Macaca mulatta: one gene and its partners. The protein of the gene in region 1 purifies or fractionates together with the protein of each later gene. This does not show direct contact. Links are inferred from orthologs where the notes say so. Each region holds a gene or a part of one and is shown in the gene's direction. Other genes may lie near its edges. The genes, in order: CDK8, MED8 and MED19.

Region 1 (6,626 bases):
CCAGCCCGGCTAAGTTTTGTATTTTTGGTAGAGACAGGGTTTCACCATGTTGACCAGGCTGGTCTCTTAGCTCCTGATGTCAGGTGATCTGCCCACCTCGGCCTCTCAAAGTGCTGGGATTACAGGCCTGAGCCACTGAGCCCAACCAGTTTATTAGTTTATCTAATGCAATGCAGAAAATGATGCTATATTGAAAAAAATTACTGTAAAATAAGAACTTAAATTAATCTTGTCTAAGTAGCTGAAATTCAAACACCAGCCTCAGTATTTTGCAGTTTACTAAGCAGATTATTTTTTAAATTGGTATTTGAGGAACTCTTAGGTAACTATGAAATTTGCTGTTTTGTTAAATATAACATTTATGTTTTAAAAAAAATCTGAAACGTTACCTTGCAGATAAGACTGAGATATATATATTATATACATATATATATAGAAAATCTATAACAGGATAGCCAAAGTAATTTTGAAACATATTCACAATTACATTCTTACCAATCTGTATAAAGAACATCTGTTAATACAGATTATAGTTTAAGAAACAAGTAAACCAAACCTCTAACATTACCTTGTGTTAATTCATTAAGAATTACTTTACTCCTGTGTACTGGGTTTTTAATGATATTTAATAATGTCTTTAAACATTGTATTGATTTGCATACTAATCTATATTTACTAAGTTAGCATGGCCATGCTTTTTAATTTGTACACATGAAATTTTCTCTCTTTTATGAAACTCTTTTGAAAGTTCATGCTGATTATTAATTTTTTCGTCTTTTTTTAATCTTTGGTTCTTCTGTTCTTCTATTTTAAAATAAGTCTAATCGTATCAACCCTGTTAAATCAGCGTGGCCAGTATTAAATTGAACACTCACCATACTGAGCCTCATAAGAAATGAAGTCATATAATTTAAACTTAAGGCATTTTCCAGGCTGGTTCATAAACAAGATTTGTGATAAACCACGGTAGAGCGTAGAAGATAGTATAATATTTCACTCAATGTGATTTCTAGCTGCTAGTTTGTAATATTTAATTTTACATGTAGGTACAATGATTATACTTTAACAAATTTTATTGCATGTAATATTGTACAGTGTATATAAATAGTTCATTAGCTTTATCATCATCTTAATAATATTTAAGCCAAATAACTATTTTTAATGTTCATTTTCATTAAAAACAAACGATAATTTAGCCTACTAAAGCCCACTCCTTTATCTATTTTAATTGGAATGTTGAAGTGAATTGGTAGGGGTTAGGCAGCAGAGGGTAACAAGGCAGTTGCGATAAAAATAGTTATTTTTAAAAATCACTTAAGCATTGGTGAGATTTCATGGTATGTGTACTTTGCATTTGTTATGTAGCCCTGGAATATAAAGAAGATGACAGTAGGGTTTGTCATTTTAAAATATTGGTAAAAGAAATCACTTGTAATACTCTAATAAAGTGTACATGAAGAAATATATATGAAATTGATTAATTACCTTACCTCTCCTACATATCCGCCCACCTCGGCCTCCCAAAGTGCTAGGATTACAGGCGTGAGCCACCACGCCCGGCCCAAGAATCTTAAGGAGAACAGACTTGATTGTCACATCATATTTTAGGACAGGTGACAAAACAGTCTAGATATTAAATTGTTGTAGCTCTGTTTTGTTTGCCTGCTATTAAATACCTTGAAAAAAAGACTGAGAGGAAAATTAAAGTCGGTTAATGCTGCTCATTTAGATTAGTCACACTACATAGGTGCAAACTGCTACACTTTACCTTCTCGTGGGTACTTGCTATCTATTTTTCCTTGGAGAGTAAAGCTCCTTTACTCATTAATCATTAGTTATTCCTTACTTGTATTATATTCTGTGTATCATAAGAAAATAGCAAGTGAAAATGTTAACTTATAATGTTAAATATCTCTTATTTTTATTATGTTTACTGATTTCAAGAACATGCTTAATATTTACTTACATATATTGGCCGAGGGTCTGCTCTGTGCAATATTAGGTTCAGGGATATGTACAATGGTGTGCAAGGCATAGTTGACTACAGCCAAGTTACAGATTTTCCTGCAGTTTAAAAGTGATCCAATTAAGAAAATGAGTCCTCCTATCACGAGCATTTGAAACTTTTCAAAAAAAACTTGTAAGGCACATTCATTTATAAAGTAATTTTTCTATGTATAAAGTTGTGCTTTGTTTTACTGGATGTCCAACAACATTATACATAGAAAGCTTTGATGGATGGTACAAGGCATTTTTTTTTCCCTCAGAATCTTTCATATTTTTCCATTTTTCCCTGTGAACTGGTATGTCATTTCTTTGTGCTTGTGTTATTTTATTGAAGCATCTCCCCACTTGCTTTCTTTATAACCTATGTTATAAATAGGTTCTCATTCTATACCATGTCAGCCAGCCAGAAGTATCTCTTGAACTTTGTTTTTTTTTTTTCATTGTATCTACCAGATAAACAGGAATCAAATATACTCTGAAAGTAATTGATTTTTAATTATGCTGTAAAAATAAAAGCACAGTATTTCCTAATTCCTTGTTGTGATAATGTATTTCCTGAAATGCTGTCATATGCTTAGGAAATGGAATTTTAGCTGCAGTTATTAGGGAATTTTAAAGTTGTTTATGTTATTCAGCAGAGTATGAAATTGTATTTTCAATATCTGTGGGAATCCCTGAGTGTTTCTTTTTCTGTTAGGAAAATATTACATATCAAATGATCTTTTCCTTTTTTTTAAGCTTCTGGTGATATTTTTTCTTTCTTTCAGCATATAATCAAGTTTCACAGAGCTTCTAAAGCAAACAAGAAGCCAGTTCAGTTACCTCGGGGAATGGTGAAGTCACTATTGTATCAGATCCTAGATGGTATTCACTACCTGCATGCTAACTGGGTGTTGCACAGAGATTTGGTAAGTTGATCTGTAATTGGTTTAAACTAGAAAGATGCATTACAGTTGGATACTTTTCTAGTTGTCTGTAGATACCAGTGCTATATGTAGGCCTGCAAACCTTATAGAGGTAGTGAGAACGCTACATTCTCAAAAAATGGCCTAGTAGTGTTTTTATAGAATTCATCCTGCTTCTTTGACATACACTAGATGGTATTTATTTTGAAGTGAAATAAGACACATTTGTTTTCCTAAGCTTCTGTTTCCTTTTAAGTTCATAAATAAAGCATTAGCTTGCTTCACATTGATTATTAGATGCAAGGCAAACTGTAGAAATTTATATATTTATAATAACTTGAAGGTAAAACTTTTGGAGCCTACTGCATACTTATTTACATATTAGAAAAGGAAAATGTTAATTCAGTATGCTTATATTTTAAGCCCCTCTATGTTAGTAGCAGTCTGTTGGCCAATAGCCTTTATTAATCGTAATTGAAGTATATTATTAGAAACCTTGCTGTATTCAGGTACATTGAAGTTTTAAGAATTTAAAAACGGAAGAAACTGACTTTTTATTTAATGTGTCAAAGTCATTTATGCCTTTTTTCACCCATCTTGCACAGGGGTACCCAGCCCCCAGGCCACAGACCAGTCCATGGCCCATTAGGAACCAGGCCACACAGCGGGAGGTGAGCGGTGGGTGAGCATTACCACCTGAGCTCAGCCTCCTGTCAGATCAGTGGCAGCATTAGATTTTCATAGGAGCCAGAACCCTATTGTGAACTGCACATGCAGGGGTTCTAGACTGCACACTCCTTATGAGAATCTAATGCCTTATGATCTGAGGTGGTACAGTTACATACTGAAACCATCCCTTCCCACCCCACTGTGTGGAAAAACTGTCTTCCATGAAACTGATCCCTGGTGCCAAAAAGATTGGGGACTGCTGATCTAGCATATTATTATTCATTAAATTTTCATGGATTTCAGTTACCTAAACTTCAAATTGCCCTTTCTTACTACATAATTACATTGCTTTTATAGTTCTTTTCTTTGTAAAGATAGTAACTATAATAAGATTTATAACAGCACCGTCATTTCAAACAAATATAAACACAATGCTGAAAGTGATGATTTTGTCTCTAATCACCTGTATACAAAGGAAATATCCTGTAGGCCATGAGGCGGAGCCCATCTGGTCTCTCGCAAAGATGTTCTTCACAAATTTAGTGAGCTTAGTCTCTGGCCTTCAAATGTGCTGTTCCAGTGGCATAGTTTCTACTTCTTTCTTCTAGCTTTAGGAAATTGCCTTGTAGCACATTTAATGTTAGTTAGTTACTTTATCTCCAGTTCTCGTACCTACAAAGCATTTAGACTAGGACCAATAACACAGCAGAAATTTGGTTGGACTTGTTTCTTTATGCAAGCTTTTATTTTTAATAGAGTTAGAATATTTTACTTATAAAAATAGATTTACAGGCCGGGCGCGGTGGCTCGTGCCTATAATCCCAGCACTTTGGGAGGCTGAGGCAGGGTGGATCACAAGGTCAGGAGTTCAAGATGAGGCTGGCCAAGATGGTGAAACCCTGTCTCTACTAAAAATACAAAAAATTAGCCGGCTTGGTGGTAGGCACCTGTAATCCGAGCTACGCTGGAGGCTGAGGCAGAGAATTACTTGAACGTGGGAGGCGGAGGTTGCAGTGAGCCAAGATGGCACCACTGCACTCCAGCCTGGACGACAGAGTGAAACTCCATCTCTTAAAAACAAAACAAAACAAAAAATAGATTTACATAACAGAAATCAGACAAATCCTTTGGCATTTTATGAAGCTGAAAATAAATTTTGGCCATTGTGGTGGAGTCAAATTAGGGAAAAACATTTCTACTTTTGAGCTACCCATCCTTTTTATGATGTCTAAAAGAAAAAACTGTGGCTAAAGGACATGTTTTTCCCCATCGAGTCAGTTATGCTAAGATAGCTCTACATTTTCTTTTTCTTGTAAATTATTCTTTTCACTTGAAGTATGTATGCATATTAGGTAAATACAGACTGATTTTTAAAACCAATATTTAAATTTCATGTAATAATATAAATATACTTAAGCCACTTAGAGTAGTATTAAGTATAGTAGTGAAAATTATGATACCAAGTTTCTTTTATCTCTCTTATGGTAAAGCTCTTCCTACTAATGCACCTTAAGTAGATTCTCTTTGACATAGGGTCAGTGTAGAACCGATCATTTCAGAAGGCTCTGTTAGTGGTGTACTAAGTGGTGGAGAGTGGAAGGATCGGTGCCCCCTAATATAGGCAACAAGGGATGCATTGTCTGTAGGTGATTTAAAAATAATAATAAAGCATACTAAAAGTTAGTTGCTTTTTATTGTCACCATATGCTGACAATTCTGAACAATTTCAGTAATAAAGTATTTCTCTACAGTGAGGCAAATCACTCTTACTCCTCCATCCCTCTTGCCATTATTTAAAGTTTATTAATCCAAAAAGTTCTGCGGTGTCTACTGCTATCTTCTTTGATTTCCATATTTGAGTGAGATTTTCCGTATTTTCTGTGCATGACTTCTTAGTATTCTTTATAAACGTCTGTCTCTTCTGTGTATCTCAGGCACACAGAAATCCACTGAACCATTGTTTCATGAAAATGACAGCCTTTGCCTCTAACCTAGATCCTACTGGTTCAGATGCCCACCTTTCAAATTCTGAAGGAAAAACTCATTTACCATATATGTACATTTTAAAATGTGAGCACCTTCCTGCCAACTGAAAAAGCTTTAAAGTTTTAACGTTTATAGTGTTTGAACAATAGCTACATTTGATTCTAATATATGTAGTAATATCATATTAACTCTCAAGAACATTGGTCAGCCGGGCGCGGTGGCTCACGCCTGTAATCCCAGCACTTTGGGAGGCTGAGGTGGGTGGATCATGAGGTCAGGAGTTCGAGACCAGCCTGGCCAAGATGGTGAAACTCCGTCTCTACTAAAAATACAAAAATTAGCCGGGCATGGTGGCACATGCCTGTAATCCTAGCTACTTGGGAGGCTGAGGCAAGAGAATCACTTGAACCCGCGAGGCAGAGGTTGCAGTGAGCCGAGATTGTGCCACCGCACTCTAGCCTGGGTGACAGAGCGAGACTCCGTCTCAAAAAGAAAAAAAAAGAACATTGTTCAGAAGCTATATAACATAATTTTTTTTAACTTGTTCTTCTCAAATATTTGTTGTTAGTTGCATATGAAATATTTACCCTATCCAAACAAAAATTAATAGTTCATTATATTCTTTACTCCTGTTTAGTCAGATTTAGATCAAATGTGACAATGCTGACCTTAACTCTCTTCATAGACTTCTAATGCTATGAATTGGACCAGTTGGTTGAGGTGCTGACATGCCACAAGAAACTTCATATTAAGGTGGATAATTGGCACAGACACCCTAAAAACACCATTTTAATAATACTCTGGAATGTTATTGATGTTTTTGTTTAATAAAATTGGCTTTATTAATTAATAGAAATACTGGTTTGAGATGGTAGAGTTATGAAGTTCTTTGATATGTATAGTTGAGCTTTTAAAATTAACAATCCTATTTAATAAATAACGATTTATCTGGTTGCTATTAATCATCACATAGTAGCAAATCAGTAACTGAAATCTGTCATCCTTGGTGGGAAAATAGAGATTTCTTAATTCTGGAAGTCTTTTTGGGCTGAGAGTCGT
Region 2 (6,626 bases), on another chromosome or scaffold:
TCCCAGCCTGTGCCCTATAGTTGTTAAGGGTGAAGAAATGGAATAAAACAGGATACCACCGATGGGAAGGAAATGCTTTGCAGACCCCCGGCATTTTAATTTGTTTGTTCAGTGCTTAGAAGCATGTGCGGTTTTGGTTTTCATTTGTCACTTAGTTTCCTGCAGCTGGTAGTCTCAAGAAATGTTATTGGGTTGACCGAGCTTGTGAAAGAGGCACGGGAATATTGACACAGAGATAGATGGGTGCATATTAATTCAGCGAGGAGAAGGTTGAAACATGAAATGATGAGAGCAGATGGAAAGCTGGAGTGGTTGGTGGGGGGAGGGAAAGAGGAGAGCAGGGCTGGTATTCAGAGAAGTCTTCATGAGTAGGCAGATTTCCCAGAGACTGACAAGAGAGCCAGGCTCACAAATGCTAGGATGGAGGAAGCTGGAGTGCATGTGCTACAGAGGTGCACATGAGATAATGATCTGGCATTAGGTTTGTCGAAAATGTCTCAATGAGGGAGTGTAGGGTGTACCTAATACAGAGAAAAACCAGGCATAGATTAGGAGCGGATGGGAAAAAGGAATCAGTTGGTGGAAGTACTTGGGTCAGGCAAACGGTTGAAAGGTCTCAGGGTTGATGCTGTCTATAACCCAAATACCACAGATAGGAAACAACCTGGTTATCCTATGCCAATGAGATCCTGTTACCTGACTGGTGTTTGCACACCATCTCCTTGGCTTTTCAGCCCTCCTTTCTATGTGTCATACTCGTTTATCTGGGTAACCAACCTGTTCCTATTGGTGCAGAGAGAGGAGAAGCAGCTTGAGGCATCATTAGATGCACTGCTGAGTCAAGTGGCTGATCTGAAGAACTCACTGGGAAGTTTCATTTGCAAGTTGGAGAACGAGTATGGCCGGCTGACCTGGTAAGGGTTGCCAGGGCAAGCTAGGGAGGGCTTATGGGTGGGGGGGCCTAGCCTTCTGATGAATAGGACACTTCTAATGATGTAACCATTTATCAGTTTACAAACATCTTTTGATTTGGAAAGAGCTGGGTTTCGTAACATTTAGCAAGTGGCTTCCATGGCAAGGAAGTAGAGAAATGCTCGGTTTCCTAACCCAAGTTCATTATAGCTTTCAATTCTTACCCTTTGACTTCTCTGGTGAGGAGGTCCTCCTATTACAGCTCTATTTGTGCTGGATCTCTTGCCACAAATATGGCTGAGTCCTTTAGATCCAACCTACTCTGAAGTGTGGATCCTATTTCCAGGCTGGAAAGAAGGATTTTACCGGGTTTCTGAAGTTTTAGTTATAACAGTATAGTCCTATTTTGCCACTGTTCCTCACCTCATTCAAACAATGAACTGGATTTTTTCTACATCTGTTTCATAAACTGAAACTATGTCCCTCTTTCATAACCCTGTCATCCTTGTTAGTTTCTTCCCACTTAGGCTAGTCATAGGGCTATGAGACTTTTGGGGATAAATCCGAGTGTTCCTAGCCTGAAGGAACTAGGACTATTTTACTAAGAACCACCCAAGGAAGGGGTGGAACATTCTGACACCTGCTTACTGCCAACAGGCCATCTGTCCTGGACAGCTTTGCCTTGCTTTCTGGACAGTTGAACACTCTGAACAAGGTCTTGAAGCATGAAAAAACACCGCTGTTCCGTAACCAGGTCATCATCCCTCTGGTGTTGTCTCCAGACCGAGATGAAGATCTCATGGTAAGAGCAGAAAAAGAATACAACTTGGGAAATTAAGGAGTTTTTTAGGCTTCTTTACTATTTAGGGAAATTAAGTTCTTAGCTGAGAACTTAGAAATAATTTTGGAGGCCTTGCTTTTTGTTCTTCTGAAGGTGGGAGAGCCACTCCCAAATAGTGTTGTAATAACCTGAGGGGTATGTCACCAAGGCTGGTACCTTCCTTCTCCAACATCTGTCTCAAGCCACAAAGTCTGCCCTTTGGTGACTTTGTCTGTTTCAGTCTTTGAAACGTGGCAGACAGTGATAGTTTAATTTGCCTCTAGGTCTGGTAGAGATAGGGATGTGAGAAGACACAAAAAATGAAGGCTGGAGTAAAGGAGATTGTGTCCTAGGAAACTAGATATTATGTCTTAGGTTGTATTTTCCTTGAAAATGCACTGTTTGCCTGTGGATGGGACTGTATATCAGGCCAGATAGAATCTTCTTGGAGTGCATAGTAGGATCAATAAAATCTGTGTGTTGCAGCGGCAGACTGAAGGACGGGTGCCCGTTTTCAGCCATGAGGTAGTCCCTGACCATCTGAGAACCAAGCCTGACCCTGAGGTGGAAGAACAGGAGAAGCAACTGACGACAGATGCTGCCCGCATTGGTGCAGATGCAGCCCAGGTTGGACTGAGTCACTGCCTTGCTGCCCCATCCCCATCCCATCATGAGAAGCTAGGCATTACCATTCCTGTCTAGTAGGGATGCATAGTTGGTTGCACCTAAGCTGCTTCTGGCAGAACCCAAGGAATAAATTTGTCCATATCGTTTCCTAGTTACCCTAATCTCTGCACAAATTTGTGTGTTACAGAAGCAGATCCAGAGCTTGAATAAAATGTGTTCAAACCTTCTGGAGAAAATCAGCAAAGAGGAGCGAGAATCAGAGAGTGGAGGTATGGTGGACTGGTGGCAAAACAGAGAAGGAGAGGTATATAAGATCACTGGAATGGGAATGGTTGTTTCGAGAGTAGTGAAGTTAGGACACAAGAGTGAACTGCTTTAGGGTTTGCATCCATTCTGTTAGCCTTTTGTATTTAAGGCCAACCCTGAAGCAGTGGAGGAAATGGGCAAAGTAAGAAGAGAGAATTCTGAGATAGGCTTGGGGGTCCTCTGGCTCTTTTTATGGGCTGTGAGGGAGTCTAGATGCTGCTGAATTCAGAACTCTAAACCCTGGCACTCATACTGGTCTTCCAGCTGCCACGTTCAGTCCTGCATCAGAAACATACTTCAGGATCCCCACTTACTTTTTCTTCAGGTCTCCGGCCAAACAAGCAGACCTTTAACCCTACAGACACTAATGCCTTGGTGGCAGCTGTTGCCTTTGGGAAAGGACTGTCTAACTGGAGACCTTCAGGCAGCAGTGGTCCTGGCCAGCCAGGCCAGCCAGGAGCTGGGACGATCCTTGCAGGAACCTCAGGATTACAGCAGGTGCAGATGGCAGGAGCTCCAAGCCAGCAGCAGCCAATGCTCAGTGGGGTACAAATGGCTCAAGCAGGTCAACCAGGTAAGGTGGCAGGGGTTGAAGGGAAGTTGACTTTGAGCAGGGGAGCTGGAGGGAATAAGCTAGATTATCTGGGCCTCCAGCATCTCTAGACCTAGAGATTTTCTCCATTTCTCCTTTGCACTGTGACCCAGGAAATAATTTTCAGAAGTAAAAAAATCTCATTTGAGACTCTGCATAGACACCAGAGAGTGAGGAAGAACTTTGAGTAACAGAAACTGCTCTCATTTCCCATCTCCATCTCACATCTCTGTGTCAACTATCCTTCGGTCCCATTTATTCTGGTATTAGATATGTTGTCAGTGTCTCTTCTTAGGTAGAGAAATCAGTGGTCAGATCTTAAGACCGTTTGGTAGGTGCATTAGGAATTGACACGCAGGCCAGTTTTCCAGTCCTACATGTATTCTTTTCTCTGTATCATGCCTCTCTTGCTCTTGGCTTCCTGCTTTCTCTCCTACTCATTTTTAGAATAGTCTATATGGAGGCAGCTAGAAGAGTTATTTCCTCCAAGCTGTCTAGGAGAAGGGACAATTAAAACAAAGATTCTGCAGTTCTTATGATATTAAAAAAAAAAAAACAATGAGAGAAAGTACTCTTTTTACCTGTGACATTAAATGGGGGTCACACAGGTTTAGCTATCTTTTCTAGGAGTGGATGAACAGACTATTCTCCCATATCACTTCTTTCCTCCTGGGCACCTTCAGGGAGAGAGCTGGGTGAAGAACCATACTTCTGACCTTTGTCAAACAAGGTCAGATGCTACAGAGGTTCTGAGATGATAAAGGAGGTGACAGAGGGAACCTGAGATACCACATTTCTGATTTGTCGTGAAAGTCTTACCTTGCTTGAGATGTCTTTCTTCATGTTCCTTTCAGGGAAAATGCCAAGTGGAATAAAAACCAACATCAAGTCGGCTTCAATGCATCCCTACCAGCGGTGAGTGTGGCTGGCAACCTCGACTCCCTGGTGCTCTTTGCAGAGTTGGGCAGTGAAATTATCTTTTGCTCAAGGCTCACCTAGATGGGTACAATAAAAAGAACATGGGCTTTCAGCAACAGACAAATCCCACTTCCACCACTGACTAGCTGTGTGACCTTGGACAAGTGACCTAATTTTCTGAGCCTGTTTCTCATTTGTAAATGGTGATAATACCTACCTTATAGAGTTGTTGTGAGGATTAAAATGAGGAAATGAATGTAAAGCACTTAGCACAGTATATGAAATAATGGGTATTCAATAAATGATAGTTTCTACAGATCCTTCTCCCCACCACCCTCCACAGTCCTTGATCCAGAACTTACCCTGATCTGATACTGCCTCATGTCAATGGTGAGCTGATGGACACAAGATCAAATAAGGCTTTGCTTATTTCATGCTGCCAAAAACTGTAGCAACCTCTGTGTTCTTAGAGGCACACTGTCTTTGCAGGCCCTCCTGCCTGGTTTTCATTCTGGCTGTCCCTCTAAGGTGCAAGGTGAAGAAGCTTCTGGGTCAGGAAGAAAAAAAAAATGCCCGCCTACAGCTCTGGTGAAGCTTGGGCCTGCTGTCCTTTCTATGCTCTGAAAAGCCAACTTGGCTCTTACCTGGCAAATAGTCATAAAGTCCCCTATTCTTTACCCCACCCTTATCACACGAGGCTTTCTCAGGAAGTGGCTCTGCCAGGCAGGACTATGTGGGAAAGGGTTTTTTCTTAGCACATGAAAAAGCCCCTTCCCCTGGACTCGTGTTTCTTATTTTGGAGGGAGAAGGGAATTGCACTTCACACTGCCATCAGGGTTTAGTTGACCTCATAATGGTGCCCAGTTTCTCGACTGGCCAGGATGGCTTTCCTTCATTTCCCTAAGCCTGTGGCCCAAATGGTGAACCAGATTGATGGTGGGAGGGGGCAACCCCCACTGCTTTTATAAAGTTGAACAAAGTGAATTTAGACATTCAGGCTAATCTGCCTTTCTTAGTACTTGTTTGTCGGCATGGGCAGGGGTTGAGTCAGCAGAAGTGGACCAAAGGATTCCTCTGAATAAAGTTATTTAAATTGATGTTCACTGGCTCAGGGTTGTCTGACAGTAATTTATGAGAGCACTACATAGGGATCAGAGGCAATTTCAAGAGTGCTGCAAGGCAGTTCTAATTTGCTCTCCATAAAAAAGTTTTCATATCTTTAATTAGCTTTGATCTAAAAATCCTGCGACTTCCCTCCTGCTCATACCTTCCAGCTGCCTTTTTTCTGTTCTCTTCTATCACACACTGGTGCTTTGGCATTTGTTCAGTGCCAAACAAAGTTCTGCCAGGCTGTGGCAGCAAAGGACTGGAAAAGTGGTCCCAGATGTCACATCTGTTACCATTCCATCAAGACGAGGAATGGTATCCACAAAGCTCACTGACCACAATACATAGCAGTAGGGGAGTCTGGTCACCAGCTCTGAGGCAAAGACAGACCTTTTCCCTACTTAAACTCTTCCAACTCATCAGCTTGCTGAGGTGTTCTCTATCTTCTCACCTCTTCCCTTCCCAGTGGAAATGTCAAAGCTAACTGGCATATTGGGTAGAGTTTGAGCTGTGCTTCTCTGAAACCCCTGGAGCGTCTATTGGTGACTGTTGCCCTTTACTCCACCAAAAGGTTTCCTCCTATTGAACAGCACCAACCGCAGGATTTTTTTGTGTCCCAGGCAAATACTGACTTCATCCCCGCCATACTATTAAAATGGATTCCTTGTCATCCAAGAATGGAAATGTCCTCTTGCCCCAACAGGAACGTATGCAGGATGTCACCTACATCTTGTTCCCCTAAGCAAACAATCCTTCCTCTAGAGGGACTCCTCTACATTCAGCACTGTAGGAGTGCATGCTCTCATTTTTATCCCCCATCCTCAAAACAATCATTTGGGGTACACATATCTCATGAGTGTCTCCCACTTTGGGGTCCATACAGTCTAGTAAATGCCTCTAGAGAGTATGTATCTCCCACCCCTAACATACTCATTCCCTCAGGAGGGAATACATATAGAATTTCCTTTGAAGAAGGGGACATGACCTATTTACTGCCTCAGATTTAGGATTTGCAAAAGGTGACTATTGGCCTACTCTGGTAACATGCCTCTGTTTTTGACTGCCCTGTTTTGCTTGGAGATCGTGCTTTCTCCTATTCTTGGGTCCCCTGGAGAAAGAGATTAGGCCATTGTCTCCTAGGTTTGTGTCTAGGATGGAGAAAGAAGCAGCAGCTGTGAAACGTCAAGAGCTTACTACAGGACAGAGTTCATCCTGCTGAAGGCGGAAGCTTATCCAATCAATGTCAGCATAAGGCCCATTGCCTAGGACCTCTCTCCAGTCCTGCCCTGAGCCTGGGATTCAGTCATTGCTGAACCTCTCTTTTGCTCATTGTGCCAGTCACCC
Region 3 (6,726 bases), on another chromosome or scaffold:
TTTAAAAATTAGCCAGGTGTGTAGTGCATGCCTTTGGTTCCAGCTACCTGGGAGGCTGAGGTGGCAGGATGGCTTTGCCCAGGAGGTTAAGACTACAGTGAGCCATGATCACACCACTGCACTCCAGCTTGGATAACAGAGCAAGATCTTGTCTCAAAAAAACCCCAAAAAACTAAAAACCCTGCCTTTTTCCTAAGGCCTTATCAGCTAAAGCTAGTCAACTTGTCTTTGAAAAAAAAAAAAATCACCGTAACATCTTATATTTGGACAAACTTTACACACAACCTACAATCTAGGAAAATAAATTGCTATTGATCTTCCCAACTGACTGCCCTCCAGACTCTAAAGAAACTAGTTTATACGCTATACCAGATATTAAGCTTTGCCTTGTTCCATAGATATGTCTCTCTTATTAAATCTGTTTGCCTACATCATGTATAGAAGACTAGCTTTGAGAACTCATCTACAATGCCATCTCCTGAAAGGAGACACAGAAATTTAACTGAACTGGCCTATCCCCCAAAATGAGAGACTGGTTTAATGGGATCCTTTGCCGCTCAATTACTAGCCCAATTTCTCTCTCCACAGACACCAACTCAGCTTTTATAGGGAAACTTCTAAGGAAGTTTCAGACAAAGGAAATAAAGGAGACCAGGGACTCACAGCCCAAAATATGGCATCCTGTATGCTAATTATTTTAAATTAAAGGTCCCTGGATACCAGCAGATACTGGAAGCAGCTTTACTCTGATAACTACCTTATCTGCCTAAAGTCCAGACCTGTCAAAGAAGAAAACAATTACTTCTGGTCTCTTCCCTGAGTTTTCATTAACTTAACTCATAGTACAGGAAGAAAGACTGAAGCCTGTCAACACACCCGGACAGATTTTTGTCAGAAACCACTGTCTGCTTTGCAGGCCCAACAGTCATTGTCCCACGCCACTGTATGTTCTCCAGGCCACTGAATCACCCTAAAAGTCATTTACAATCCACCTTAAAATCACCCACATTTCCCCATCTCCCATACTCCTATGAAGAAGGGTATATAAGCCTCTGTACCCCACTGGGTCATTCTCCTTCAATTCCCTCATGCTATGCACGTTAAAATAAAATTTCTGTGCCTTTCTCCTATTAACGTGCCCTTTGTCGGCTGATTTTTCAACAAACCCTCAGAGAGCTAAGGGGAAGCTTTGCCTTGGCCCTTACATGCTATATAGCAGAGGGTAAAGTGCTTTAAGTTCATGTTCTGAGCAGTCCCTCCACCCATTCCAAGGAAGCACAGCAAGGAGCTTGGGACACTTCTCAAAGAAAGCCCAAAGATTTCTTTACAACTTATTTTTTACAATTCCTTTACAGTAGCCCCAAAATTTTATCCACTTTCGCATCCTCAGGATCAAGCAGAGTGCCTAGAGTGTACACTCTAGAAATGCTGATTGAATTAAGAAACGGCTGACAGTGTGTGCAGGTAGTGTGGCCACAAGAATAGTTTCAAGTCCCAGGCACTCATTAGTTGCATGACCTGGGGCAAGTCGCCTAAATATACCAAGATCCATTCCTTCACCAATGAAACAGGACTACTACTACTTGCCTTCCCTACCTTACTGGCTCCTCAGGAGGCTTTACATAATGAGCGGCACTGTAAGATGCTATACACGTATATGTACAGTTTTGACAGGGCTGTTTCTTAGTCTAAATGGTGAAATGGAAAGAAACCTGGACTCAACAGTCAGAAGCTGTTGGGCCGTTGTACAGGGCTACGACTAACAGGTTCCGTTTTCCCATATTAAACACAAAGTTTAGTCTCGACGATGTTTCGGACTCTGCACTTTACAGTCTGTTAAATCCGCTACAGGCTCGGAACCTCAGGTGTCCTCAGAAAGGTAAACCCCAGGGTTCCCAGATGCACCTGCAAGGGCAGGGACAGTCAAGGTCGCGGTACTGAGACGCGGGACGCTCACCCAGTCAAAGTCACACGGGTTACCGTCTTCGCGTTGGGTGGGCAAACCGTGGCAGAGTGGCGGCAGTTTCCTCACGAGTAGGAAGGCAGCAGAGAGCAGGGCCGACAGAAGGTAGTAAGGTTGGGCAAGCCATCGTGAAAGTCGCGGCACCGAATACACCAGAGCAATTAGAGGAGCCAAGACCGCCATCTTTTCGGCCGCAAGGGCCACTGCTCACCGGCGTCGTAGGTCCGGCCCCGCCTCCCCCACCATAGCGACTGCTATTGGGCTACATCTCAAACGTACGGCCTCTAAACCCGGATGTAGTTCTGTCAACGCTGTGGTATGTCAGAACCCAAAAAAGAACTTAATATCTTATTGGTTGGTCTAGCTGTCGCTTTATCAGCTTAAGTCATTTTATTGGACTGTAGCTAACGTAGCTAGCAGAAGACTCTAATAAGGTTAAATAGCACTTCCTGAACGTTCTCAGAGAGCGACGGAAGTAGTTGTTGAAACAAGGTAGGCGGTGCCTGAGGCATCCAATGACAAGCGGTTCCTTGAGAAAGAGGTGGGTATTCCTTAAAGGCATTGTCCAATGAAAATTACCAACGCCAGACACCGAGACAGCGCCGGGGCGGAGGGGACGATGGAGAATTTCACGGCGCTGTTCGGGGCTCAGGCTGACCCACCACCGCCCCCAACCGCACTAGGCTTCGGACCAGGAAAGCCTCCACCCCCGCCACCGCCTCCTCCGGGCGGGGGACCCGGCACGGCTCCGCCTCCCACCGCGGCCACGGCCCCTCCCGGCGCGGACAAGTCAGGAGCTGGCTGTGGCCCTTTTTACCTCATGAGGGAACTGCCAGGTGAGTACTCGGCCTTGCCAAAGCCAGCCAATCAAATCTTAGAGAGGAGGTGTTGGGCGTGGCTCTCAGCCGGCTAACGGAGGTGCGAGGTAACCTAGGCAACGCATACCCGGACTGTGGAGCCCTAAGTCGAAAGGGCTATTAGGATTCACAAGCAGAGGGATGAGTTGAATTCAACCAAAGGGATGAATGGCGGGGAGCGGGGTGGTGCATCTCCGTGACTGTCTTTTGCACCATGTCCAGGCTGTGTTCCTGACACTGGTTTATGTCTCCCTAAAAAATGATCTAGGGCTGGGCGCAGTGGCTCACGCCTGTAATCCCAACACTCTGGGAGACGGAGGCGGGCGAATCACCTCAGGTCAGGAGTTCGAGACCAGCCTGGCCAACATGATGCAACTCTGTCTGTACTAAAAACACAAAAATTACTTGGGCGTGGTGGCGTATACCTTTAATTCCAGCTACTCGGAACCCGGGAGGCGGAGGTTGCATTGAGCCGAGATTGCTCCACTGCACTCCAGCCTGGGCGATAGAATGAGACTCCGTCTCAAAACAAAAACAAACAAACAAAAAATCAAGAGTTTGAGTTTGGAACTCGAGAGGCCTGATTTAATATCTTTGGGGACCTAAAGTTTTAGTTACAAGTCTCCCACAGACTTGCTGTGGGTTTGGGGCAAGTTGCCACTCTTCCAAGATTTCTGCGTTTCCTGGTGTCATCAAAGAAGGGGTAAGAATCGAACCAAACTCTTTTCATTCAAAAAATTATTTTGTTGAGTACCTATGTACCAAGCACTTTTCTAAATGCTGGAGATACAGTTGTGAACAAGACTGACAAGATGCTTGCCTTTTTTGGAATGTACATTTCAGTGTAGGAGGCATTGTAAACAAGATAATGTCAGAGAGTGGTTAATGCTAGGAAGAGAAAACATTATAAAAAATTGAAGGTGGCCAGGCGCATTGCTCACGCCTGTAATCCCAGCGCTTGGGTAGGCTGAGGCAGGAGGATCCTTTGAGCCCAGGAGTTTGAGACCAGCCTGGGCAACATGGCGAGACCCAGTCTCTACAAAACATACAAGATTAGCCGGCCGTGGTAGTGCTTGCCTGTAGCCCCAGCTACTCAGGAGACTAAGGGAGGAGAATTGCTTGAACACAGGAGGTCCAGGCTGCAGTGAACCAAGATTGTGCCACTGCACTCCAGCCTAGGCAACAGATGAGACCCTGTCTCTTAAAAAAAAAATTGAGGGGCAGAACTACTTTAGCTAGAGTGGCCAGAGATGCTCTCTCCACATAGCTAAAATTTGAACTAAAATGTAAGCATAGACAAAGGGCCAGCCAGCTATGGACAGGAGGGAGAGATAATTCTAGATACAGGAAATGAGGTCAGAAACCCTGATGTGAGAAAAAGCTTAGAATATCTGAGGGACAGAAAATCAGTTGGACTCCAGTGAAGTGAACAAAAGGAAAGAGTGTTAGGAGAGAGATGAAGCTGGGAGAGTTAGGCAGAGGCTTTTATAAAGCAATAAAGGCATTTAGATTGTAAATACAAAAGGAAGCCATTTAAAACAATTTTTTATAGAGACAAGGTCTCACTGTGTCACCCAGGCTGGACTGCAGTGGTACAGTCATAGCTCACTGTAACCTCCAATTCCTAGGCGCATGCTGTCCTCCCACCTCAGCCTCCCAAGTAGCTAGGACTGCAGGCATGTGCCACCACAGTTGGCTAACTTAAAAATTTTTTGTAAAGACTGGGTCTTACTGTGTTGCCCAAGCTGGTCTTGAACTCCTGGCCAATGACAGTCCTCCCACCTTGGCCACCCAAAGTGCTAGGATTATAGGCCTGAGCCACTGTGCCCAGCCAAGGAAAGCCATTTTAACATAGGAACTTGGTCAAATGTACTTATTTAGAGAAGTAAATGGATACAGGGTGTTAGATGTAGAGCTGACAGGGTTGAAAAGCTGAATATAGAGCCAGGTGCTGTGGCTAACGCCAGTAATCCCAGCACTTTGGGAGGCTGAGGTGGGAGGACTGCTTGAGCCCAAAAGTTTGAGACCAGCCTGGGCAATATAATGAGACCCCATCTCTACAAAAAATAAAAGTAAATTAGCTAGGGATAGCAGCGTACACCTGTAGTCTCAGCTACTTAGGAAGCTGAGGTGGTAGAATCACTTGAGCCCAGGAAGTTGAGGCTGCAGTGAGCTGTGATTGTGCCACTGTGCTCCAGCTTAGATGATAGAGGAAGAAGCTGTCTCAGTTAAAAATACATATTGTATATAGAAGTGAAGGAGATAGAGGAATTGATGCCTTTTTAAGTTTTCAGCTTGAATAATTGGGTGTATGGGTACGAGACTTGGAAGATGAGGAAGGAACAAGTTTGAAGAGGTGGAAATCGAGTTGTTTTGGACATGTTTGGTCTCCAAGATGCTGCCTTTCTCTCTCTTTTTTTTTTTTTTTTTTTTTTCTCCTGAGACAGAGTTTTGCTCTTGTTGCGCAGGCTGGAGTGCAATGGCGCAATCTCGGCTCACTGAAACCTCCGCCTCCCAGGTTCAGGCGATTCTCCTGCCTCAGCCTCCCGAGTAGCTGGGATTACAGGCATGCGCCCCCACACCCAGCTAGTTTTTTATTTTTAGTAGAGACGAGGTTTCTCCCTGTTGGTCAGGCTGATCTCAAACTCCCAACCTCAGGTGATCCACCCACCTTGGCCTCCCAAAGTGCCAGGATTACAGGTGTGAGCCACCACGCCTGGCCTCCCAGATGCCTTTCATTGTCTCAAGTCTTAGTTCCGCATCATGACTTGAGGGAAGTAGCGACAGATATTGGTATGGTACTTCAAAGTTCACAACACATATGAAGTAGTATTTAATACTTAGAATAGCCCTTTGAGGTAGCATTATTATCTACATTTTATAATTGAAAAAACTGAAACATGGAGAAGTTGACATCCCTTTGATTAGTTAGTGGTTGATGTCCACCAGCAGTTTCCTTTAATCTTTCTTTTGCCTTCCCTATTCTGATTGTAGCTATTGGTATCAGTCAGTTGACAGATTGAATATCTGTTCTGGGCAAATGCTGGGTGTATGAGGAGGGTGAGATGGAGAGAGAGATTAGTAATGCTGGTCATTGCTTTTCAAGGAGATTAGTTAGGAATGTAAAATTTGTGGTTTAAGGATAGTGACTATATTTCCTGTCAACTCCATCTCATTTTGTGCTCATGCCTCACAACAGCAATTAACAATATCTTAGCCATCAATATTAAGAACTATCTAATGGTTTTCAAAGTGTGTTGCTATCCAAAATGACAGTAAGAATAAAATGTCACTTGAGCTAGACCTTGAATAATTCATGTTGGTGAAGAAAAATTAGGAAGAATTTTCCTAAAATGAAATAATGTGAGGGGTGTGTTTTTGAGGCGATAGGGAGATTCATTTGGACGGATCAGAAATTTTGCATAGAGGAGTAGTGGTTGATGAGGCCCCAAAGCTAAGTTGGAGTAAGATGTAATTAGCCTTGAGTGCCAGTCAAAAGGAATTTGAGTGTTCTCCTGAGGGCAAAAAGAAACCATTAAGATTTGTGAACCGAGGAGTACTGCTTTCCAAAAATATCTGGAACATGTGGGTGCCGTGGATTGAAATAGAGAAGCCATGAGTGATGTTGGCAAGTTTGGAATTTCAAAACGAAAAAAAATTTTTTTTTTTTTAATCTTGTTGGGCAGGGTGGTTCATGCCTGTGATCCTAGCACTTTGGGAGGCTGAGGCAGGCAGATTGTTTGAGTCTAGGAGTTCAAGACCAGTCTGGGCAACATAGGGAGACCCCTGTCTCTACAAAAAGTATAAAAATTAGGCCGGGCGCGGTGGCTCACGCCTGTAATCCCAGCACTTTGGGAGGCCGAGACGGGTGGATCACAAGGTCAGGAGATCGAGACCATCCTGGCT

Evidence for each region.
Region 2: the proteins of CDK8 (region 1) and MED8 purify together in Homo sapiens (affinity purification with mass spectrometry; 7 studies listed by BioGRID and IntAct, counting the BioPlex papers as one, with this or other methods). This does not show direct contact. The link is inferred for Macaca mulatta from reciprocal best matches to the Homo sapiens genes CDK8 and MED8.
Region 3: the proteins of CDK8 (region 1) and MED19 purify together in Homo sapiens (affinity purification with mass spectrometry; 8 studies listed by BioGRID and IntAct, counting the BioPlex papers as one, with this or other methods). This does not show direct contact. The link is inferred for Macaca mulatta from reciprocal best matches to the Homo sapiens genes CDK8 and MED19.

What each region holds. Positions count from the first base shown.
Region 1 is NC_133422.1:6,466,154-6,472,779, forward strand, and holds part of CDK8 (cyclin-dependent kinase 8), read left to right. Parts: intron 1-2,774; coding exon 2,775-2,915; intron 2,916-6,626.
Region 2 is NC_133406.1:197,281,668-197,288,293, forward strand, and holds the end of MED8 (mediator of RNA polymerase II transcription subunit 8), read left to right. Parts: intron 1-795; coding exon 796-914; intron 915-1,569; coding exon 1,570-1,714; intron 1,715-2,218; coding exon 2,219-2,359; intron 2,360-2,546; coding exon 2,547-2,628; intron 2,629-2,990; coding exon 2,991-3,239; intron 3,240-4,111; coding exon 4,112-4,172; coding exon of another isoform or gene 4,173-4,176; exon of another isoform or gene 4,177-4,491; intron 4,492-4,664; coding exon 4,665-4,767; 3' UTR 4,768-5,272; downstream 5,273-6,626. UniProt on the Homo sapiens protein: Component of the Mediator complex, a coactivator involved in the regulated transcription of nearly all RNA polymerase II-dependent genes.
Region 3 is NC_133419.1:15,680,716-15,687,441, forward strand, and holds the start of MED19 (mediator of RNA polymerase II transcription subunit 19), read left to right. Parts: upstream 1-2,549; 5' UTR 2,550-2,582; coding exon 2,583-2,799; intron 2,800-6,726. Other genes in the region: TMX2 (thioredoxin-related transmembrane protein 2), read right to left, coding at 1,958-2,146. UniProt on the Homo sapiens protein: Component of the Mediator complex, a coactivator involved in the regulated transcription of nearly all RNA polymerase II-dependent genes.